Drosophila melanogaster: one gene and its partners. Changing the gene in region 3 together with the main gene of any one other region gives a genetic interaction. Each region holds a gene or a part of one and is shown on either strand. Other genes may lie near its edges. The genes, in order: Bap170, btl, kni and neb.

What was found.
Region 1: of kni (region 3) and Bap170, changing one suppresses a phenotype caused by changing the other (phenotypic suppression), as found in Drosophila melanogaster (one study listed by BioGRID).
Region 2: of kni (region 3) and btl, changing one suppresses a phenotype caused by changing the other (phenotypic suppression), as found in Drosophila melanogaster (one study listed by BioGRID).
Region 4: of kni (region 3) and neb, changing one suppresses a phenotype caused by changing the other (phenotypic suppression), as found in Drosophila melanogaster (one study listed by BioGRID).

Annotation. Positions count from the first base shown.
Region 1 is NT_033778.4:6,634,785-6,642,536, reverse strand, and holds Bap170 (brahma associated protein 170kD), read right to left. Parts: upstream 6,026-7,752; 5' UTR 5,849-6,025; coding exon 5,607-5,848; intron 5,543-5,606; coding exon 4,527-5,542; intron 4,357-4,526; coding exon 1,550-4,356; intron 1,253-1,549; coding exon 251-1,252; 3' UTR 179-250; downstream 1-178. Other genes in the region: Trap1, read left to right, coding at 6,550-6,682, 6,759-7,752.
Region 2 is NT_037436.4:14,074,059-14,081,808, reverse strand, and holds the start of btl (breathless), read right to left. Parts: upstream 5,996-7,750; intron 5,934-5,995; coding exon of another isoform or gene 5,864-5,933; 5' UTR 5,761-5,863; exon of another isoform or gene 5,686-5,760; intron 4,745-5,685; exon of another isoform or gene 4,682-4,744; intron 2,355-4,681; 5' UTR 2,198-2,354; coding exon 1-2,197. Other genes in the region: Pex1 (peroxin 1), read right to left, coding at 5,864-5,933, 5,996-6,099, 6,350-6,973, 7,036-7,232, 7,291-7,750. UniProt on the Drosophila melanogaster protein: May be required for patterning of muscle precursor cells: generation of mesodermal and endodermal layers, invaginations of various types of cells, and CNS formation.
Region 3 is NT_037436.4:20,691,797-20,696,276, forward strand, and holds kni (knirps), read right to left. Parts: upstream 2,761-4,480; 5' UTR 2,661-2,760; coding exon 2,646-2,660; intron 2,545-2,645; coding exon 2,467-2,544; intron 2,252-2,466; coding exon 1,040-2,251; 3' UTR 534-1,039; downstream 1-533. UniProt on the Drosophila melanogaster protein: Transcriptional repressor. Binds to multiple sites in the eve stripe 3 enhancer element. Plays an essential role in the segmentation process both by refining the expression patterns of gap genes and by establishing pair-rules stripes of gene expression.
Region 4 is NT_033779.5:20,073,765-20,078,757, reverse strand, and holds the start of neb (nebbish), read right to left. Parts: upstream 3,002-4,993; 5' UTR 2,902-3,001; coding exon 1,462-2,901; intron 1-1,461. Other genes in the region: pr (purple), read left to right, coding at 3,733-3,800, 3,908-3,987, 4,422-4,567, 4,630-4,842.

The DNA of each region.
Region 1 (7,752 bases), on a different chromosome or scaffold from region 3:
TGAACGATTAATTCAAAACGTTTATTTGCTAACCAGGAGTATATCTGATAATGTCCACCATAGCTCTTTAATTCTAAGCCTCGTAGAATTGTAGAAGTCAAATTAAAATCTTACTCCCGAATCTCCCATATTTTGGTGCTATATGGTATGAATCATTTAGACAAACAAGGTATGGTTTGCTTTTCACATTTTTTTAGTGTCGTTCTTACAAGTCAGTTAAATAATCATATTGATGGTAAGCTATATCGGCTTACTGGCTCAATTCGTACATGATGTGGGAGAGCACTCCGCTAGCCTCCACATTGCTAAAGGCGACATTGGCCAAGCGTGACTCATAGCGTTTCAGGCTTCTCTTGGCCGTAGCCGAGTAGGTGACCAGGTTGCGTATAATGAGCGCCGCTGTCAGACGGATGCTCTTGGTGACTGGACCCTCATTTTCGTCCATCAGCTCTTTAGCGTTCGTGTAATCAGTCGTGTGTCGGTTCATAGCTTGCATTGCGGCGCTGCCAACGACTGGAACCGCTGAAGCAGGACCCGAAGGTGAACCAGTAGCGCCTCCCGCCAATCGTTGGGCATGACCCTCGTTGCGCACTATGGTCACGGGAGCCTGGGTGGGCGCCACATTGTGAATCCCAGTTGCCAGGCGACGTTGCACACTGGCGCGCAAGTTCTCCGTTGTCAGGTGCCGGTCAATCAGATGCGTCATCAATGAGTACCGTTTGCGCGCTCTGTTGTCGCAGAAGTTGGGTCCGCTGCCCCACTGACAATAAATGTCGGCATCAGAATCAAGGTGATCTGGACAGTGGACACTGCACACGTGGTACTGCAGCTCGTTAAGAGACTTGAATTTCTTGCGGGGACAGTTCCGCCAGTCGCAGATGTACAACCAATTTGCATCCACGGGCATGGGAGAGGGCGTGGGGTTGGCATTCGGGCCAGAAGCAGCGTAGACGCTCTGACTGACAACCAAAGAACTGCTGCTGGGACCTGTAGTTACGACAGCAGGTGGGACAACCGTCTGTGCTACTACCTCTGATTCCGCTGGCTTGGCCTCGCTGGTTGCTAAGACAACTGTTTTGCCGCCTTCCGTTGAATCACTAGTTCCTGACGTCGTTACCACAACAGCCTGGGTGACTGATGGCTTGGGGCTAGATACTTGAGCAGGTTGTGGCGGCGCCGGCTTTTTTGCTAGGAGAGTTACAGTTGGTGAAACTGGAACGGGTGCTATTTTCGGTTTGGTCGCTTCGGAAATCTAAAATAATATATTAAAATATTTGTTTTAGTCATCTTAGCACAATTCTTATTACCATACACCTGTTGGCTATTTAGAAAAGAGATCCTGTAAAACCCGCCACTCAAGTAGTGAAAACGCGATGGAAACATTTAAAAATGGGGAATGTGAATGTGATGCGATTTATGGGATTTAGAACGGGCATGGGCATATTATGAAATCAAATTTTAAGCTGTTTACATACTTTTCAATGACCCTTGTATATATACTTAAAAAAAAATAATAATTCTTTAATTTCGGCCCCAGTTCCCAACTTACTGCCGGCATGGTTATCTTCTGTTGGATGATGGATGGATGATGCTGCTGCTGCTGGTCCAACACAGATCGAATGTGATGTTGCTGCTGAAGAGCCACGCCTCCTACGATAGCCGTGCTGGTAGGTGACTGAGTGATGATCGTCTGCGAGTTAAGCTGGCTTTGCTGCAGGGGAGCCGGTGTGGCCGACGTCTGGGTAATTAGCGTGGTCTCCTTGATTCCGCCCAGAATTACCTGCCTCTTTTCCCCACCAACCGTACCGCCAACTGTGGAAGTAGGAGTGGAGGGGCCCGAGATTATGTGTTGCTGGATGATAGACTGATGTTGCTGGAGCTGAGGAATGGGCAATGAAGCGCCCGGCTTTGCGGCAACTAATCGCTGCTGGGGTGCTAATTGCGGCGAAACGAGCTGCGGCTGTGGTTGGGGCTGATGAAGCTTTATAGTAGCCGGGATCTGGTTCAACTGCGACAGCAGTGAAGGCGACATTTGGCCAGCACCCAACGCCGGAACTGGTCGCTGGGGTGCGATAAAGATTTGCTGCTGGGGGGTAGAAGTACGCGGTTGGGCCAGTTGTGGAGCTGTGGTGGTGGTAACCAGGACCTGCTGGCCCTGCGCCGTTGTCATTATCATTTTCTGAGTGCCAGCCACGTTCGCCGCAGAGACTCCTCCTGGCTGCTGCAGGATTATTATGGTCTTCGTTTGTTGTTGTGGTGTTTGCGTCACCAGCAGAGTGGGTGGTGCCGACTGCGTGGATGTCGGAATAGTCGGCTGCTGGGCCACAAGATACGTCTGGCCTTGCTGGTTGGTGGCCAGAACATATTGCGTCTGCGGAGCTGGCGTGGAATCCATTGCAGTCTTGGGCTGCAGGATCACTGGCACAGTTTGCAAGCCCTGATCCGTCTTTATGGTGGCCGTGGTGGCAAGTTTTAGTTGGGAATGCGGAGCTGGAGAAACCACATTGCTACCGGGGAAAACAAGTTGACGTTGGGTTGGTTGCACTTTAGCCGGAATGAGTTGAAGCTGCTGTGCCTGTTGCGGGTGCTGCTGGCTTTGCTCCTGGCTTGGTTTGGCCAGCGGTGGAACGTCATCCATATCCTCATCCTCCAAAATAGATGCCGCCAGATCCGCATAGAGATTGGCTGCATTCTTCGAGGGAGTCACCTGCGCTTCTTCCTTGCCGCCAGAAGATGAGCTGCTGGAACTGCTGGCAGCGGCATCTAAAGCCAGACGCTTATTCTGCTCCTCGTCAATGGTTAATTTTCGTTTGGCAGCTGCTGATGCAATGATGAGAGTGCGCCCGCTGGCGTCTTTCGTCACTACGTTTGCACCACTCAATGGAGCGAGAGGTGGCGGGGCCGAATCAGTGATTGGCTTCTTTTCGATGGCCATCTGGGGGTGCAACGGCTTAATGGTAGTCTGACCCACCTTCACCGGTGTGTGCTGCATTAGCGGGTTGTTCACGAAGGCGCTTATAGCTGTTGAGGTTACCTTGATGGGCTGGGTAGCATTTGTGCCCGATGCCGTGGTAGCCACAAGGGCTGGCGGCTGCGGCGTCTGAGCTTGGGCCTTCTGCTTCTGTTGGCGTTCAGTTACCTTGTTGGCCAACAAGCTTTTGATGAGCGAGGAGCTTGGGGGTGGCGTGACTGCAGAAGAAACGCTTTCCTCAGACGCCACTTCCGTTTGAACAGGATCACTAAATGGTTGCTTGGGCAATATTGGCGTGTCCTTTTTAACAGGAACAATGCTGGGGGTGGGTCTCTGTTGCATGGCTAGCGGCTGAGCTCGCATCCTAATGCCTACGTAGTACGTCCCAGGTAGCTCTATTCCGTCCAGGTGCCGTACAATTACTGGTCCCACCGATTGATTAAATATAAGCCGCACTAGACGAGGAAACTGCATGTGATTAACCACTGAAAGCTTACCCGCCTTCTGGCAATGCGATAAATATATTCTGTATAGTTCCGCTTGTTCCACACGGAGATCGTTACCGTTCCCAGCCCGTTCATACGTGGCTCCCAGCCAAGCCAGCGCATACTGTTCGTCCTCGTGTGTAAAACTCTGGGAGGCGGAGGGCAGACTGGGAAGGGTCACGGTGGCAGCGATTGGTGGCAATTGTACCTGCGGCAGACTGGGTACAGGCAATTGAACCTGTGGCAGACTGGGCATTGGCAGACCGGGGAGAGCTGTAACCAAGGGTGTTTGCTCTCCGTGAGGCAGCACTTGCGTCTGGGCGGGTGTAGGCGTGGGTAAAACTGCTGGCGGTTTAACAGCTACTTGCAGCGATGTTGGAAGTGTAGTCAGGGAAGTGGGACCTGGAGCAAGAATGGCGGGCATGTTCTGAGCCAGCGAGGCAGCCATGTTTCCGGGGAAAACCTCTACGACACGCATTAATATGCAACCGCCTGTGCCATATGACTGAGCCTCCACTGTGATAAGGGTCACCAGCTGGTCTATTAGGCCACGTACTTGCATCAGCATCGAACATGGCCGAGCGCCAAGAGCACTTAGTGCGTAAACTGCCTCCAGCGTAAAGATAATCATCATGACGTCGGTAAGCGAGAGGAGCAACATGGCTCGCTGGTAAAAGTCCAGGCCAAGGCAACGATTGATGTGCTGCGAATTGCCTTCTCGTCCGCACAACTTATAGAGTATCTCCAGACAGCTCATGATCACCGCGCGGTCGTTAGAGTCAATACCCTCGCAGAGAGTAGCTAAAAGATTCCGCGATAGCTCGTCAGTGGTGGGGTCTAGCAGCTCAAATTGTTGAGCCAGGTTGCCAGCGGTCTCGAGGGCCTGGATGTGAATGTTGCCTAGAACGAGCGAAACGTGTTTCAGTTATTTTATTTTAAATTGATTCTTTCGGGATTGCTATGCTACGCAATAGTCAATTTCCTTGCAGTGTATTTATGATAGCACCTTGATACTTCGTACATTCAAAGCGCCAAAAAATATAATTTCTAAGCAGATAAAAAAAACTTACTCCATCGTACGTTTGCTCCCATGACCAAATATCGCCACAACGTGCGGTTGGAGGCCAAGAGTGCATGATTCTCCTGATGAAAGCTGAGTGTACGGACTAGCTGGACAATCTGAAGCACTCGCTGGCCCATGCGCTCATCAGTCCCGTTGCTCCGGCGCAGATTAAGGAAGTGCAACTCGTCGCAGGCCGCCAGCAGTTCACTTCGAGCGGCAGAGTTCTCACCGTCCTCCTTACTTATCAGACCGTTGTCCAGCCAGGCCTGCTCATCCGTGTAGAGCTCTAGGACCTGTGGCTTGTCGTGTAGCAGGTCGCGCCAGAAACTGAGCTGCGAATGGTGTCGAACCTCGGTGTAACTGTGCTGGAACAGCTGGCGCATGGTGAAGTCAGCGTAGACTCCCAGGTGAGCAAGCAGCACATCAAGCAGTTTGGGGCACTCGGACAGCTGTAGGGTGTGGCGCGCCTCGTTGGCCATAAGTGTGCACACGTTTATGGCGAAGTCCTGCTCATTGGGCAGCGGAGAAAGCAGAGACAACAGCAGCTTCTCGTAGCTGCTGTGTCGGTGCAACTGCGTGGACATCTTGTACTGTCGGCGTCGTTCCACATTAACAGAGTGCTGGCGCTGGTTGTAGGCCATTGGCACCGCCGGCAACGTAGAGTGTGCTGATCCAAAAATGCTTCCTAGGCCACCACCGGCGCCAGCCAAAAAACGAGATCGCGAGCGTCCACCGCCCATTTCTACAATCTCAATAGCCGCCTCCAGAGCCTCCATCTTGTCTGGATCCTCGCCAAAGAAGTTCAACCGTTCGTACTTGTCCAGGTAGCGTCTGTAGATGTGCTTGATACTAGCCGTTCCGTTAACGCAGCGCTCCCGCAATGTCTCCATGGCGCTGTACACCTCGTCCCACTCGTCCCGCATGGTCACCTTATTAAAGCCGCCTCGTTCGGTTACCTCGTTGTACAGCTTGTACAGGTCGACATGCTTACCGCTGATCCTGGCGGGCTGTGTCAATGGAGTGCTGTTTGGGCAGAGGGAAAGTGGGTTAGGTCGTCTCCAAATACAGGAGAGCCGCGGCAACTCACCCGCGTCGTTCGTGAAACTGCTGCAGGTCCCTCCAGAACTCCTCCGGAGGTGACGGCGGCATCTCCTCGACCTTCTCCGGCATGATCTGTAATTGGGCGGGATTCTTGGCGCGAAGGGGAGTCGCTGGGGCCGCAATCTTGCCCGGCGTCTGTAGATCGCCCGGCTGAGTGGCGCTGTTTACGGCGGCAGCAGGCAGCGACTGAAGCAGCACCCGTACGTTGTCGATGGTGGTGGCGCTCATGATTGGATCTTTTTGTGTGGTGGCGTGAATGGGAAACACTTAACACATGATATTCTAATAGTAAGACACGCAGATGCTAATTAAAATTATTTAAAAAACTCAACAAAAATTACAACGCGACGCTGACGCGCTACAGCAGAGTTGCATTCACGAGCAGGGCTGTCAGCAATTGGACCGTATATCGATATGAGGTATCGATGTCTTTCAATATTGGATTTGATTTAACTTTCTTTTATTTACTGTCTTCTTTGAAGACATTTGTTATTTCATAACTCAAAAATCAGCATCCAATCTACATTGGCTAAACAATGAAACGTAATCTGTTCTTAATTCCTTCAGAATTTACGGTTTGTTGTTCACAGTTGAAACATCTCTATCTCTCTCTCTCTCTCTTGCTGATCGAAATCTTTAGAGAACTAGTCAGCTGGCAGTTTGCTTCAGTTTTGAGCTGAATAATGTGATGAAACTGAACTCTCCATTACATGTAGTAACTCTTATTCAAACCAACTAAGCATTTGAGTCCAAAATTCATTACAGCCCAGAAATTTGGAAGAAAACACCGTTATGAGTAGGGTTTTACCAGTTTACTATTATCGAATACTTACAATCGATTGATTTGGCTACACTGTGCACACATGTGCGCTGGAACAAACTTCGTAGTTGGGTAACATTAAAGTTGGGCAAAACATTAAAACAACAAGATGTCTGTACGAGCGATGGGAGTGCTGGGCCAGGCGTGCCGCCTCGGTCGCTGTGCCCAAGTGTTGAGGCAGAGTCACCGATCCGCCCCAGCAGCGTTCAATATCACCATTGGATCGCAGCATTCGCCGGGTGGTAAGCACTGAATATAAGCAACCGGCTCCCCGGAGGGATTCTTATGTTTACATAACACTCATCTTTTCACTTGCAGCTCTCTCGCTCCGTCGCTACTCCACGGAGACCAAGCAGGCATCAGGATCAGTGGTGGACAAGCATGAGTTCCAGGCAGAGACGCGCCAGCTACTTGACATTGTGGCTCGTTCCTTATACTCCGACCACGAGGTCTTTGTGCGCGAGCTTATTTCGAATGCAAGCGATGCGCTGGAGAAATTTCGGTACACCTCGTTGAGCGCTGGAGGCGAGAATCTGGCTGGAAAGGACCGGCCTCTGGAGATTCGTATCACCACCGACAAGCCACTGATGCAGCTAATCATCCAGGACACGGGCATCGGCATGACCAAGGAGGAGCTGGTCAGCAACCTGGGCACCATTGCACGCAGCGGCTCGAAGAAGTTCCTGGAGCAGATGAAGGGGACCCAGCAGGGAGCCAGCTCGGAGGCATCCTCGAACATTATTGGTCAGTTCGGCGTGGGCTTTTACTCTTCCTTCATTGTCGCCAATAAGGTGGAGGTGTTCACGAGGGCGGCTGTGCCTAATGCACCCGGACTGCGTTGGTCCACGGATGGCAGTGGAACCTACGAGATCGAAGAGGTGCCTGACGTTGAGTTGGGAACGCGAATCGTGCTTCATTTAAAGACCGATTGCCGTGAATATGCGGACGAGGAGAGGATCAAGGCGGTAATCAAGAAATACAGCAACTTTGTGGGCTCACCCATCTTGCTTAACGGAAAGCAGGCCAATGAGATCAAGCCTCTGTGGCTTCTTGAGCCACAAAGCATCAGCAAGGAGCAGCACCATGACTTCTATCGGTTCATTAGCAATAGCTTCGATGTCCCGCGCTTCACCTTACACTATAATGCTGACGTACCCTTGAGCATCCATGCACTGCTCTACTTCCCCGAAGGAAAGCCTGGTTTATTCGAGATGTCTCGGGACGGAAACACCGGTGTGGCTCTTTACACCCGCAAGGTGCTTATTCAGTCCAAGACTGAGCATCTGCTGCCCAAGTGGCTGCGTTTTGTAAA
Region 2 (7,750 bases), 6.6 Mb from region 3:
CCTCCGCCTCCGCCATCACTACGCGTCCAAAGGCGCCCTCACCCAAAATGGAGCCCAAGCTAAGCTGCTGCCTGGGAATCTCCCAGTTTGAGTCCAGCGGGAACTCATACTCATTAAAGCCCTGGGCGGGATCAGTACCGCCAGTTCCCGTTGTGGAAACGGTTGTTCTCTGCTTCTCGATCCTTATCACTGGCATCTGAAGATCGCCGGAGCTGCAGCCACTTCCTTCTTCTCCACCCGGTCGGTATATGATCACCTTTTTAGTCCACTGATGAACCGTTTCGATGCGGAGCTTCAGGAGCTTCTCCCTCCTCAGCCGACGCAGCATGAACGTTATGAAAGCACTGCCCAAAAGGAACAAAGCCACTATCGTAATAGCGGCCAAGGTGAATCCGAGAGGATGGGCGTGCAGCAGGGCGTAGATCTCCAAAGGTGGCAGAGGACTCACTACCCTAAGGTACACACTGGAGTTACTCCTTCCCAGACCACTTGAGGCCAAACAGGTGTACCAGCCCTCCTGGTCAAAGGTCACATTACGAAGCGTTAAAACTACGGAGTCATTCGTCACGGTGAAGTTGAGATTCTGGATTTCCACAGACTTAAGGCCGTCCAAGGAGGCATTCTTGAGGACAACCCTTTTCCAGCTGACTGTTGGATGCAGATCAGAGTAGACGGTGCACTTCATCACCAAGCTGCCATTGACTTTCACCGTCTGATTTTGCGGCACCACGATTATTGGTGCGGATCTCGTGCGATCGTTTATTTGGACACTGAAGTCAAACTGGATGCAGCCCCACGCATTGCACACCTTACAGTTGTATAGTCCAGAATCCTCGCTGGTGGCCTCCACGAAGCGGAGTGTCCAGTTCTTTTGCACATAGACGCCGAGTTCACGGTTTAGCGGCTTCTTGTCCTTCGTCCAGGTGATGTTCGCTTTGCCGTACACTGGACAGGCTAGATTGACAGTATTTCCCGATAATGAGTGCTGTAATCGTTTCAGCTCTTTTCTGAACACAGGTGGACCAACGCCGCCTGATGCTTCCGCTGCTGGATTTTCCACGTCGTCATCGTTGTCCTCTCCGGTGGATGCAGTGGGTATTGGGCTGGCCACGGTGGTAGTAGTGGTCGTGCGAACTGTGGTAGTATCTGAGGGACTGTAAAGATCCACATAGGAGGCGGCCACAGTGCGTCCAACCTGGTTCTCGGCTATGCATATGTACCATCCGCCATCCTCCATCAGGACATTTCCAAGACGAAGTACCTGCGGTTCATCCATTCGGGTAATCAATCGGGTAACATCCACAGGTAGCTGGGACTGCTCTCTTAAACGCTGCAAGAGGTCATCGATGTTGTCCGCATTCCCCTTATGTAGCCACGTGATCTTCGGCTCCAGGGCAGAGTCCTCAAGTAGGCATTCAATGCTCACATTGTCCCCGAGGGCAATGCTGGTATTGCGGGGATATCCGGGCTTTAGCATGGGCACCGTGTGCTTTCTGCTTATCACCTCCAATTGGGTCGGATTACTCCTTTGGCAGTCCTGTTCCACGCACAGCTCACAGTGATAGCTTCCAGCATCCTCCGGCTGCAGTTGCCCCACTGTTAATGACCACCTTTTAAGCTTAATGCGTCCACGTCCACCAAGGATTTGAGTATCATTGTGCAGCCAGGATATATTAACACCCTTTGCATCCGGATCCATGGGACTGCAGTTCAACTGAAAAAGGCCACCTGCGGTCCGTTGTACGGTTTTGGGTAGGGGTTGCAGCAACTTCAGGGATCGACTCTCATTCAGGGGCTGAAAAAAGAGATCTGACTCCGGGAGGGCCGGTGCATCTTCCAACTTGACAAAGCTGGCGATATCATTGCCAACTGGTTCCTTATGGCCAACAACAAGGGAAATATTGTACCATCTGTTCTGACTATCCAGGCAGCCGTAGTTTCCAGAATTTCCGGACTGTGCTCGTTCAAGTCGCAAAAGGGTAGCCCTCAGTTGAAACTTATCCTCATAGAACCATTTGGCCATGGGTCGGACGCACTGCAGCGTGATGTCCATGTCGGAGAGCAGATGGCGCTGGCGGGGACTGTTTTCCACAGTCACATCGATGTAGCAACGATGATGGCCATAATCGCATCCCAGGTCCGCAGCGGCAGAGACGATCGCAATGATCATCACCAGCGTGATCGGCACTTTTGCCATGATTCAAGTGGATTCTCTTGAGTTCAACAGCCACCAAGATCTCGTATCTGGATGGGCACGATCGTGTACATATGGGTTACAGTTGCGGTCGAAATAATATCACTTCCTGTGGGTATCTTCATTCGAGTTCCTCGATTTCAAATCGAGCGTTCTCCAGCTAAAGGAAAGGATTAAATATATGAATTACATGGCATTGATTGATATATTATACTTTAAAAATAACACTTTGGAATTTTGTTTAATTTAACTAAATTTAAGAAGTTATGAATGCAAATATTATTAGCTATTCGTTACTTGAATACCACTATTGTGCCACTATTCTTTTGACCGCAGCTGTATAAGTGGATCAATAAATATTGCCAAATCTCCGCTTCACTTTTTGCCCCTCCCTTAGTTCCCGATCTGTGTCATTTTATTTATTTATTATTATTGTTTAATATTTTATTGCCAACACGGCACACAGCCAAGTCAAGTCTGTCCGCACCGATATGCAAAAATCCAAAGGAGAAGCAACTGAAACAAACGAAAACTGTGTGCCCTGCCTTCGTAATGAGCTGGAAGACGTGGTCGAAGCCACCGAATTGCCGGACACACTCGTCGCCACCCACTACCGAAGGGGATCTCCATTATAACTTGTCTATATTCGACGTTCGCCAAATGCTTTTGTTGCTGCGGCCTGCGCTCCTCGATTTCCATTCAACTAAATGCCGAACAGTTAGAAAATCACTTAGCTATTTGTTGAAATCAGTTGTTACAGTGGTGTCACACTTTTCAGTTATTCCCCAAGTACTATACTTGCACTTACAAAACAAACAGACAAGGTGCTAGAGAATTGCAACAACAAATCGAGAAATACCTAAATGATTTGCCACAATCTGAAATAGCAACTAATTAACATTCAAATTCTCTGTGCAATATGAGCTCAGCATTTTAATCAATTAAAAGGTATATTTATAATAAAGTTATGCTTTAAACACTGAATAACACTGCTCGAAAATCCTAATAGCAGATAATTATTTCAAAATTAATTTTTAGTATAATCACGTAAAGGGTATAGGACAGTGGGTATTCCATCTACTTGGGTTCGTCAAATGTTTGCCAAATAAAAATAAACAATTTTTAGTTCAATGATTAATGATGATAGGGTAAATTCCCAAACTTGTTGTCTGCGAATGTAAGCTTTGTACAAAATGTAAAGTTTTAAACGAAGTTTAGAAAATATTGATAATAATGGGGGCATAGCATAGTTCGACTATTTTTTCTATCAGAAAATTAAAATATTTTTAACTTTTATAAAATCGTTTTGACCACTGTGCTGTTTAATGAAAAGTATTTTATTGTTTGTAAGGCTTGGGACAACCGTTGCGATTGTCATTGTTGTTGTTAATATGGTGCTAGTGCTGCCAGTAATTGTTGTTGTTGTTTTAGCCGATATTGCCGCTAGCCGCTAGCCGTTTGACTTCAGGCCCGATTTATGTATGTATGCACACGCGTCGCAGGTTTTAATTTATTCAATTCCTTTTTTTCTCATTTGTTGCCAAATACGAGTCGATCGCTGTATTTGAAGTATGTATTATTGCTATTTTTATTTAATTTTTTTCTCAGTTTGTCATTCATTCAATATTATTCGATTCGATTTTAAGCCACAAGCGCACATGGCCAAAACCGTTTAGCTCACACCTTTTTATCTTGTGAATTATTATCGAGCGTATAAATCTAATGCATGAACGATTTGATATTTCAACTTGGTCAATCAGCTATATCGAGAATAGAATAAGTTCTTTATTTGGAACCCTGGGTATTAACTCCCCATTCAGTTTTCTTTCTGCAAACATTGACTTAATGTAAAAGGAATGTTTGGATCAAGACATAAATTATTCATTCATACAATTGACATCACTTTAATTTTATTTTCTTATTTATTTCATTGGTGTTTATTTAATTATGTATGAATCAGTTTTATCACGTTTCTTTGTCTCAATTAAAATTTTATTTTTAACATTTGGTTACTTTGCAGACTTTTTGTTTTTATTTATCTGTGGTTTATGATCTTTTGGCTGCACTTGGAAAGATTTGTATTTATTTTACTGCTGGAACAATTCACTCTTAAATTATTTTTTGCTTTATTTTGGTTTCACTGCTGCTTGTCAGTTCGCAGTGGGAACACAATTCTTTTCTGCCATGCCACAACCCCAAATCTTTGACCAAAAAAATCACGTTCTTTGTCTTTTATTTTCGAGGAGCCGGAGAAGGCAAATAAGATTGCAAAAAACATTGTCACTATGTTTATTCGGCTGTCAATCGCGGTTGGGGCTTGTATAAAAATCTTAAGACTCGGCAAGAGGGCAGCGGAAGGCGCCTTGCATTTCCGCTTCGTTGCCAACTTTTATTTCCCTTTACCAGGCATAAATGAAAAGAAATATGTGATGGGTAGCTGGTGTTGGGCGGGGGGGGGGGGGGGGGGTTCACTTCCGTTGCACTAACCGTAATCCGTAAAGTTTGTGGAAGGAGCCAACCGATTGGCTTGAATGTGCGCAAACAACTGAAAGTAACGATCGAAACGGAAGAAACTTTTACGCGGTACGATACGAACGATCCGAACGTGCCGATCGAACCGAACCGATCCAATACGATCCAATACGATACGAAACGAGTGGATATCTGTGGTTCCCTGCGATAATGTTTGCTAGGATCCTGGGCACAGGGTCTTCGGATGGGATGGTATGGGTTCGGACGGCTACCTGATCGAGGTGGTCTCCCTCCCGCATGTTGCAATTGTTTTCGCTGGTAGTTTTCCTGAGCGGTTTCCTTTCTTTTTATTGCTGGTTTGCTGCTGCTGCTTCTGCTAGGTTCTTGTTGGTTTTATTCTAAGCATGTTTGCGGTGGCTTCGACTCGTTGAAATTCTTTATTATCTGGCCTTCGGGTTCCCTCCCTGTTTGTTTGCTTGGCGGCTTAATTTATGCAAAAGAAAATGTGTCCATTGTCTTAGTGGTGTGCAGTACGTGCGCATGCGCGGTAATCGCATATCAATAAGGAAATATCCGTTACGTGACTGATATCCAAAAATCTCAGTTGCTGCATGTGGCATGGCAGCAGCTAGCTCCCGCATAGGCCAAAATCCAGATCCAGATGCCGGGCACGTAATCTACCCAAAAATAGTTAAATGCATTTTTGATGCACTTGTTAGGGGCTATGGGAACAAATGCGAAACAGTTGGGAAATACGAAAAGGAGGGACATACTATCCAAACTAGCTATCAAAAACTTGTTATAGCTAAACACAATTTCCGGTGAATTAATAACCAAACTCACCTGATGTCTTCATTTGTTAAGGAGCCACCCCTTAACAGCACTCATGTTTACCGAGGTCAGAATGCGAAAAGATATTAGTTCTTAAATTTGAACATCTCTTTCTCTTTTTTATACATGTATGTACATTATAATTAAAATATAATATTCTTTCAATTTAACACTCCGGAGTGGTATATGGATTTATACGAAGTAATCATAAAAGAAATTTGGTTTTTATTTTTCAACAAGAAAAATTATGAAATATGTACTACCTAAGACTTGCGTCTTCCAACAAAATGTTCCATTTTCCAGATGTACAAATATGCAAAAAACAATTTAAAATAATAATAATGCTAAGCTTATAAGTCTTTGTCTTTAAGCCAAGGTCGCACGCTTGGCTACAAACTCCCTAGAAGTCTTCTCCTTGTTGGTAAAGCGAGCATACCTACCAAGAGATAATTAAAAAGGTAAGAAGAACAGAAGAACAAAGAAGACATTGTTACGTACGTTCTGTGATATTTGGCCACATCGGAGGCGCTGAGCGAAGGACGAGTGGTTTGGAACGACTCAATCAGGTGCTTCTGCTTCAAGGAAATTTTCTTTGCCAGTTTCTGGGAAAGCAATAAGAAACAAATGGTATTTTATACTGTGGCCAGAGACTAAGAACTACGTGACTAATCATTGTTGCAGGAAGTAGCATAGATTTCACTTTTGATTTAAAAGACAAACACGTAAAGGAGTTTTTACATAGAAGTTACATTTGAAATCAGGATGAGAAACAATAAAACATGAAAGAAACGGTTGAAAGCTTGCATGACCCATAAAGCAGATTGTTTCCGGTGAAAATAATTCCCAGCTCACCTCGTGTCCGAATTGAGCTAGCGCCTCCTTAACCGCCGCCATGTTCGCCGAGGTCAGGATGCTCTGGATATCGGCGCCAGTGTAGTTTGCAGTTTTTCCCGCAAACCAATCGAAGTCCACGCACTCATCAAGGCTCAGTGTTGAACTGAGTGCTTCAAATATACGTACTCTGGCCGGAGCATCCGGCAAAGGACACTCCACCAAGCGATCAATGCGACCGGATCGAAGAAGCGCGGGATCTAGCAGTTCCGGTCTGGAGGTAGCTGCTATCACGGTAACTCCCTGCAGTCCTTCAACGCCATCCAGTTCTGTGAGCAACTGATTTACCACTCGATCGGTGACCCCCGTGGAATCGTGACCACGTTTCGGCGCCAAGCTGTCAAACTCGTCGAAGAAAAGCACACATGGTCGGGCACTGCGAGCTCGATTGAACAGGTTTCGAACATTTTCCTCGCTTTGACCAATATATTTGGCGAGCAACTCAGGACCCTTGACGGAAATGATGCGCAGGTTCCACGATGTGGCCAACTGAGAGACCAGATAGGTTTTACCTGTTCCTGGTGGCCCATATAGAAGTACTCCGGCCTGGTTGCGCAGTGGAGAGGCGTTAAAAATGGTTGGATACTGTAAGAAATTAATGATTTATTAAATTTTAGAAAAAAACATATATTTCGTTTAAAACTCACCCTTGATGGCCACATAAGGACCTCCTCCAGAACTCCCACAACTGACTCCAGGCCAGGCAACTCCTCGACGCGCATTTCATTGGCATCGGCATCATTGCCAGTTCTTTGATTGCTCTGAATGCCCTGCAGGCAGTACGAGTTTGTGTGCTCCAGGGACTCAATAAGCTGATCATTGGTCAGAAGAGGCTGGGTCTTGCCTGGAAAAAAGGGAATTTAACATGATAAAGTTGCTTACTAACACTACAAACTACTCACTTATGCGATAAGCATAAAATATTGCACGCTCCACGAACTGAACAAGATCACATTTCCGGTAGCCCTCCGTGAGGTTGGAGAACTTAACAAGATCCAGGTCCTTGGCCACATTGATATGGCTGCACAGCTCTCGAAGAATTATCTCTCGATCTGCTCGTTCCAAATTGGGCAGACGAGCAACAGTCTGGAAGACATGTCTTCCCCTTGGTGAGCTCAATCGCTTATTGAGGGTCTGCAACTCGTTGACGGTGGCGATTACTGCAATAGCGTTGTTGGTGGTATACTGAACAATCAACTGATACACAGTATCCGCCATGCGATTGTAGTACTCTCCATCCTGACTGGACTGCTCTCCAGCAGCGTGGGCCAGTACATCCAAGTTTTCTAGCACAACAATGGCGGGGGCATGCTGCAGGCAGCTGGTAAAAATGTTGCGAAGATCTTTTTGGATGGACTCCGT
Region 3 (4,480 bases):
CATTTGGCCCGTGGTTAACGAACATCGAGCCAAAGACACCGCCGATCAGATATATGTATATGGATATATGCTCGCATGTTTGAACAGAACTGATTTTGAAACAAGAGCGGTAGCTGAATACGTAAATAATTTATTGGCTTTGATCCTATAGGAATGTGCGGTAGCCGACAAACTTCGTTGATACATCCAGCAGATACATCCGAAAGATAGTTTGCACCAGACATATAGTCCATAATAATGTGCTTAAACAAATCAGAAGAGTTCGTTAACTTTAAGGTACAACGAATACGTTGTATGAGTATTTTTAAATAATTTTCTTAAAGTGTTTGTTTTGTAATTAAATACACTTTTCTATGATGTCACAACTAAAATTAAATCAATAAAAGCAACACCGAAGTAAACGTGCCGTGGAATTAATGAGCTTCAAGACGACATTGTAAATAAGTTAGTTCAATTATCCATAAGCAAAAACTTCAAATATGAATTTGTGTATTCTGAAATACACCGAAAAGCATTGGAAACGACAAAAGTTTAATTTTTAATAGTTTTTATTTTTCTTTGTATAAAACTAAATGCCAATCTTTAGACATACCATAACTAGGACTATAATAGAATAAAATACTTAGAGACAATAAAGATCATTCTTAGACTTAACAATTTGTATGTACAATAGCATTTGAGGGTGGGAATGATTACTACTTCTACGGCTCTTCCGCCGGCTAACTTTAAAATACAATTGCAAACAAGCTCAAAGATATATTTACAATTTTAACGTTTTCATAAAAAATAATTTTTGGATCCGAGCTCAATAGGTGAGTGTGAGTGTGTGTGTGGTGGTATATAGGTGTATGTGTGCGAGTGCAATGCAACTACCTGGTCAGGCTGTCTCTTTCCAGCAAAACCTGTCTGTCCCTATCTCTTTCCACTTCCCTAAGTGTGAGCGAGCACACGAATAAATTTACATTTTCTTTAAGTAACAAAAAATAAACAACGAGGGTTTTTGGGGCGACTCCTCCCACTTGGTTTTTTCGCCGTGTACTTAGACACACACGAATATTCCCCTCATGGCACTAGCCGCATTGTGGGCCACCGCGAAGCCACCGAAGTGGGTGGCCTCTGCACCACCTAGCTTCTGCCGCTTGACTTCCGCATGGGCGGTGGTGGTGTTCGGTGAGTGGGCGGCGGAGTGGGAGGAACTGCTGCTGCTGGTGGTCAGGCACTCGGCCTCCAGTTGGTAGAACTTCCGGCGCGGAGCCACCTCCACTTCTTGATCCTCGGAGCCGCTGTCGTTGAAGCTGTGCACGGAGCTCCGCGAGGTCTTCATGCTCAGATCCATGGGTCCTTCTTGAGCGGAAACGGTGGGAGGATGCACTGGTACAACGCTGGTGGTTTCGCCGCCAATGGAGCAAACCGAAACGGGCGACAAGCTCTGCATCTTGGCCGCAAAACTCAGCGGGCTGCTGCTAGTCGGAGTGGTTGGCGTGGCTCGGATGGCAATGGGATGCAGGAGGCTTGCGGACGACTGATGGCTGTGCACGGAGTGAACATCCTCCTCCAGGCAGACATCGATGGGCGACTGGCGGGCCGAGGAGGTGGGCTGCACCACTGGTGGCTGGCTGGCGGGACTAAAGCGGTTCTGCGACTCAACGGAATCCACGCTCTGGCGGTGCTTGTACATCTCCTGCCGGTAAGCGGCATCGGCAGCAGAAGCCGCTGCAGCGGCAGCACTTGCATGGTAGCCTGGGAAGAGGAGGTGTGGGGGCAGCTGGAAGGGCGACTGGTGCGGTACACCGCCCATCATGCTGAAGAAGGGCAGGGCGGCGGATGGGTCGGACAGATAGCTGGGATAGCCCAGCAGAGGCATATGTGGATGACGCGGCACCTGCTGCTGCTGCTGCTGCTGATGATGGTGGTGCAAATGGGCGGCCATGTCCCCAAATCCGGGAGTGTGTGGCGAGCCCACCGGGGAAGAGGCCGACGGGGCACCACCCACCGATACGCCACCCGCTAATGGAGGCGCCTTGCCCGCCGCTGCGGCGGCCTGTTCGTGCTCCTGCAGCAGACAATGGATCTTGAACCAGTTGGAGCGACGTCCGTAGCGGGATCCCCCCTTCGACATGCCCACGTTGTAGCACTTCCTCAAGCGGCACGCCTTGCAGGTGGTGCGGTTCTTCTTGTCGATGATGCACTTGCCCTCGTTCTTGCACTCGCTGATGGTGCTGATGTTGTTGTAAGAGCGGCCAAAGAAGGACTGCAATGGCGAAGGGAAGGACGAATGTGGCTTAGTTATGTGGTATGCAACTCATTAGCAAAAGAAGAGCAGAAATTCATTCAAGAACTTAAGGCCAATGGTACAACGATTTGAATCGCCGATGGCCTGTTCCTCGAACATTTCTAAAACTAACCCCTTGGGGGGTTACGTTCTGCTAATTTATTTGTCAATGGATTTCTTGAGACACAACTTACCTTGCAGCCCTCGCAGGTGAAGGCGCCAAAATGGAAGCCCGCCGCCGGCTCACCGCACACTTTGCATGTCTGGTTCATCTGGAAGATTGTAAAGAAATCCCGCGTTAGTAAGGGTTTAATCCACTGGTCGAGAGGTATATGTGTAATCCACAAGTAGGCGAACGGCTCTGGACACTAACCAAGTTGAACACCATTTTGGAATGATATTTGTTGGAATTTTGAATGCTTTTCTCACGATCGCTGTGAGGATCTGCTGTATGATCTGTTCGCTTGGAATGCTGCTGAGCAACTGATGCTGAGCTCTAGGCGGGCCAGGATATATATAGGAAACTGGGAAAAACTAGACAGGATGGGCGTTTTTTATGATCACAACAGGCCAAAAAACTTAAGCTGCCGGATTATGCAACCCTATGCGTTCATTTTCATTTTTTTCGCGCTGTCCAGTCATAAAACTCAGGTAGATTTTCTTTTTTATTCGAAGTCATTACGAGTGCTGCGAAAATAGTGTTCCCTAAAAAAATGCAGCAGCAGTCCAGACCTTGACGTTCGGCCATAAAAACTCACGCCGATTTTTCCCGAGTCAAACAAAAAATAGAAAATTCGGCTTATGAAAATTGTGATTTTTTTCCCGCTGCCTCGGGACGCAAAAAAATAAGGAAAAGATGGAAATGTGGCCGTTAGTTTTTCGCGTGAAACAGTAAAAAATAAAAGTAGTGCACAAGGGATCGTAAAATTTGCCGACGGCCGCGACCCAAAAACAAGAACCGTGAATTGACTTTGATCTCATGTTGTCTCCCTCGCTCAGAACTTACCTTTTTGCTTTTTTTTGTTGGATGGGCACTAGGTTTATGACGACTTTTTAATTGCAGCGATTCGCGATCGTTGCTGCACGTTTTCTCACTTTGGCAGTTTGTGTCTGTTATTTTTTTTTTTTTTGTTTTGTTTTCGGTTTGCAAGCACTTTTCGATCAGTCTGAGTGATTCAGGTTTTCAACACTTTGATTATAATTTTGGATACGATTTGATGTGATGTATGGTTTTTGATCGCCGAAACAACGCGGTTTGGGAATCCTCGATGTGTGTAACTGACACTTCGGCTACTAGCTGACGACTGATTTCTGGCTGAGAGGTTCGACTGGCAAGAAGCGTTTCTGTGTTTCGCCTACTGGCCGAACTCTTTGGCTTATGTACTCGCACTCACACCAAAGCAAACTTACCAGTTTTCAGCCCCAGCTCTCTGATAAATCACGGCTGAAACCACCACCTTTAAGACTCGGATCGAGTGAGAGAGCGATCGAGCACGCACACATGCGCATTGAGTTCGAACCCCACTCGAGCGAAATGTTAGCAGAATGTTAACGCTCTGTTGTTGAATGAATAGAAAACACTCACTCACTCATTCAGATCTCACGCTCAGTCTCTCTCTCTCTCTCGATTTTGAGTTCCCTGTAATCAGGCTATTTGCATGGCCCTGATATTATTCGTTATTCGTTTATTTATTAAAGATACTCGCGTGCTAAGGGCGGCTGGATTTCTCACTCACTCGAACACCACACACACACACACACACCACATTGACTAAGCTATTGACTTCATTTTTAACAGCTGCTCATTTTTTTGGCATGGGCGGAGCCGTTTTGGCTGCTCGAAATCGAAATGGTTGGAGGCCAATTCGCTTGGGGTTTTCTTTTCAAAGTCCGCCGGTTTTTGGGTACATTTAGAGTTGCCTGTATGCCTAACACCTAGTTTGATTTTCAAAACCTTTTTCCGCGGGAAATATTCCCACTTTCTGTGTGATTCACAAACTGATTCTCAAGATTTCATGAAATGTGTTAAAATTTGCATAACCGCGACTTGGCAATAAATTGAAACGCTTTAATTAGAAGTTAATCAATAAGAGATCTGCATTGATTCATAGCAAAAAAACGATAGTTGAGTATTATTGAGTATGTAATTGCGTCCGAAAAGTTATAAAAAATACTATTTAGACGGGCTATTACCCGGATTCAGAATGA
Region 4 (4,993 bases), on a different chromosome or scaffold from region 3:
GCCTCTCACTTGTGGGCGCCATGTAATTACTCATTGAATGCAGTCGAATGATTATAAATTACGTCGCAAATGTCGAGTGCGCCTTTTTTTAGAAGCCAGATACTTGTATTATATAAAACCCTCACTTTCGGATTAACTAGCCTGGTAATATTCCAACAATCAAGTTATTACGAACGTGTGGCGTTCGCTTAAGAGCAGTTGTTAACTTAAAATGCACACATAAGTATGTTACATTGATTGCTAAAGAAAACGCAGTCGTTACTCAATTCAAACAATCGTGAAACAAGTAGCTAATATGTTAACTAATGCACAACATTCAAGTCTCATGACAAGTTTATAACAATTTTCCTGCTAATGCTATGTAAGCATTTGCTGAGGTTTTATAACAAAATAATTATATTACCCGGGTGAAGACACTGCTATCTTTTTATTCGCGTTCTTAAAATAAATTTCTAGAAAGTTTACACGTGCGCCTTTGTATCAGGTCATAAATTTTATGGTCACATAGGAAAAGCAACAACAATAGATTAAATAGATATGATAAGAGGCCAAAATTTTAATCACTCAATTGATTGAGGTGCGGGAGGTCTTTGATTTGGTAGACCTTAATAAAAGGCTTTCCTATCGAAAATGATAAGGAAATAATAATAATAAAAAATACACTAAGTCTGCTGGCAATCTTAGCAAACAAAATAAACAAACGAATGATAACAAGGTTCGAGTTTAGAACTCGAGATCTCTCATATTTAGTCCTATAAAGCGCAGATAAACTCAATCTAATCTCTGGCTGATGTTGTCGTCTTCTTTTCCTTGTTTTTTTCGGACAATTTGACGCTTTATTTTAATTAAAGTAATTAGCACCCCAGTTAATTGATAGAGCCAACATAAATCTGTCTAGCAGCTGCTCCTCGCAGTGCAGACATCATTAAAACAGAATTCGCGTGTCGCGCGAGTCGAGATGATATCTCTGTAGACAGTGGGCTTCATAGCTCATCACGAGATCTGTTGAAAAGACGAATATCTGCCAGCCAGTTAAGTAAACATTTGACCGTACGAACATTTTGTGGGTACTTTCCGCAGGGGTCAACGTGTCATTTGCATGTTGCAGTGCAGTTCTACGTACTGATTGCTTTCCGGGTAATTACTGATTGCAAGGGGACCCCATTCCGTGGGCCACTGCCTAATCGAAGCGAAAGTGTTGATAAGCAATCCTATCGGTGGTGGCAAAAGTGCGGAAAGCATTGCGAATATACATATGCATTTATATTGAAGACATGAGGTTATAAGGTTTTACTGAGCTGAACTTATTCGAAACACATACTTAGCAATCACTTCTGGGTACAATTATTGATTTCAAAAACCAAGGGGATAAGAAAGAGTTATCATTAGCCGAAAGTAGACCAACCTACTGACCCGGTTGATAAGTACAAACGCAGCTAAGAACTATTTCGTAACACTTACCCGCAACAGCCAGGTGAGCACGCTCTCGCGATAGGGAACGAAGGTGCTGGGCGTCCCAGAGCCCAGGGGTCCATTGGCGATCGCCTTGCGGGAATCGGCGAGAGCAGCAATTACTTTCCCCAGCGTCAGCAGGCTCTTGTTGATGCTGACGCCCTCGCGGATCCGCTCGCCGTTCGATCCGGAGACGCTAATGCGTTCGCTGCCCGCCAGGTCCACCAGGCTAATCTTGCTGCGCCGCGTCTGCCGCAGGGAGGAGGCCGTGCTCGAGTCCGTATCCGAGGACAGGCCATCGTCACTGCTCAGATCGGTGAGGTTTAGGACAATGTTGAAGATGGAGTGTGAGCGCGAGCTCTTGTCGTTCATGGCCGTGGAGGCAGTGGCCCGCTGGGAGTTGCCCACGGCAAGCCAGTTGCGGAGTGCCGAGTACGAGTCCACCGAGTGGGCACTCAAGTCCACTACGTAGGGCCCGAAGATGGGATGCTCCCTGACCTTTAGAGCCGGACGCTGCTGCTGTTGTTGCTGCTGGATGGGCGTGGATTCCCCGGTGGCAGCTGCCGCATGCTGGACACTCAGCAGATCGTGTATCTTCTCGTTGTAGATCTCAAAGTAGCTGACCTCCACCTCCACCTGCAGCTGCTGCTGACTTTTCACAGCCTCTATGCGGCGGAATAGCTCGTGGCAGAAGCGTGGAATGATGCCCGCCTCATCGTGCGGCGGTCCGCCATCCAGAGCGGCGTCATCCAATGCTTCAATGCCCATCATGCTGTACGATTTGCCCGAGCCCGTCTGGCCGTAGGCAAACAAGCAGGCATTGTAGCCCTCGAAGGCAGTGTCGATCAAGGGACGCGCTGTGCCCTCAAAGACTTTGGCCTGGCAGGCGAAGTTCTTTCGTTCGGGATCGCACGAGTAGTAGACCTGGTCGTAGCTGAAGAAGTGCGTCACGCCGGCGGAGGCATCAGCACTGCTGCCCGCTTGGACAGTCAGCTCGTTGCTGTTTCCGTGCACCTGGACCACATTGGTGACCTGACCACGTGTGCATTCCAGGGCATTCAGTGGCCGCACTCGCACCGCCACAATCATGTTGCTCTCCTCGGACACGCTGAGGCAGGACTCCATCAGAGAGTCCCGCTCCTTTGTCCTGCTGCAGCTGGATTTCCCGGTGCCGGGCGTCTTTGCTCTTCCAGGAGTAGAGTTCGCATTCCTGTACAGCGACGAGGGTGTGTAGCAGGCATTCAGGGCCGTGGGCTTGGGCTTCGGCTGTGGCGTGCTCCCGCTGAATGCAGTGTTCAGCAGCTGTTCGGGACGATCCCGGTGCTCCCGATCCTCCGCCCGCGTCATCAGCACCTTCTTGCGCATCTCGGATGCCGGCGTGGATTTGTGGACTCCTCGCGTCTGGAACTGCTGGATGCGCTGCCGCACCGGAGTGCTCTTGTTGCTCATGTCTAGATTATTATTTAGGTATCTCTGCTCGTTTTTTAAATAACGCCGAAGAGTTTCGAATTATTGCGCGGCGTCGTTTGTTATTTTTTTTCTAGTGAAGGGCGGCGATCGATAGCAAAGCAGGGTTGATTACAGTGAGCGGCGTGAGGTCCGGCAACGCCACCACGAGCCAGGGATGAACAGCACTTACATACTCTGTTAGCTAACTCTGTTAATCAGCTCATTTAAATTATGAGATAATTGACAAAGAACTAACATGAAATAAATAAATATATAGCGAAATTGTAATAGTGTAAGGATTTCTACCCATACAATAGTCTATTTGTGCAGTTGTAAATCACTGAGAACAGTTGTGGCGGCAAACTGCTCAGCTCTGGCCGATAACCGATACGCGCTGCCTTGTTATCGGGAGCAGCTGTTGACGAGCAACGTAGACAAAAGTAAATATTATTGAAAATCCATAGCAATTAAAGGTGAGTTCCTTGCTGAATTGAGTTTGTTACCATGGCTATAGCATACCACACCCTGTCTTTGCAGCACGCATAGGCACTTGCAACAGAAAACGAGGGAACATCAATCGCTAATCAGCTGCAATTAGCCGCACTCGAAAAGTTCAGAGAAACTAGTTCCGAGCGTGTTGATATCGCAGTCGCCGCATTTGTGGCTTATATTTCCTTGTTCCCTCGATCCAAGTACCATATAAATAAGCGCGGCTCAAAAGCAGGTTTTGCATTCATTGTAAAACATTGCCAAAGCGCGCAGCTGATCAGCCGCATATATAAATCCACATCCAGATACAGATCCAGATATATAGTATAAATCGGACTTGAAATGTCGCAGCAACCTGTTGCCTTTTTAACCCGTCGCGAAACTTTCAGCGCCTGCCATCGTCTCCATAGGTAATTAGATTGAATCAAATTGAATCATTCAATTGCCTGATTCAATCACGGCTGGCAAACCAATTCAGTTCGATTTAAATTGATTGCTGCATCTATTTTCTCTTCAGTCCCCAATTGAGCGACGCCGAGAATCTGGAAGTCTTCGGCAAGTGCAACAATTTCCACGGCCACGGACACAACTATACAGGTAAAAAAAAAAATACCCCTTAAATACACTTAGTCGCATGATTACCTGCAAAGTGCCACACTTATTATCACATAACCCCGGCTCAATCAGGCTTAACCCCCTACTAAACTGGTAATTTGAGCCCAAAGTGGTGCCTAACCATAGCAAAACCTTGGCCGACAAGCTCGCTTATCAAAACCATATTCAAGTTCAACGCTCAAAGGCAATCAATATGTTGACTGGCGACCGAGAATTGATAATGAATAATGGTTCTGAACGAGCATAAAGTGTCGCAAGTGCTCAACTGATTAGAAATTTGGATTATATTTAGATTGTCAATAGCTAAACCTTAAGAACTCAAGCTTGACTCGATGCCGATTATACCAAATTATACCAAAAAATGTGTGAATAGACTACGAAAGATGTTCTTTTATAATCCTTTGTGATCTTTTCAGTTGAGATAACCGTCCGTGGTCCCATCGATCGGCGAACCGGAATGGTGCTAAACATCACCGAGCTGAAAGAGGCTATAGAAACTGTGATTATGAAGCGCCTGGACCACAAGAATCTCGATAAGGATGTCGAATACTTTGCCAATACAGTAAATAACCAGCAAGCACAACACAACTTACCGTACTTATCCTTTATATCTATCCCCCCCAGCCAAGCACCACAGAAAACTTGGCCGTTTACATCTGGGACAACATCCGTCTGCAGCTGAAGAAGCCGGAGCTGCTGTACGAGGTGAAGATCCATGAGACCCCAAAGAACATTATCAGCTACCGCGGCCCGTATCCGCTCAATGGCATCTACAACCCCATCAACAAACGCATCGCTCACGATTCGTGCACCAACATCTCGTCGGATTCGGATTGAACATTCGAAGATTGTGACATCGCCTAACGAATTTTTTGATTGGACCAATGATCAGCGAAGACTCAGCCAACCTCTTAAGCACGCGCGTAGAAAAGGACACTTACCATGTAAGGGAATGAAAAGTTATACGAATTACACAGTATGTAGGAGT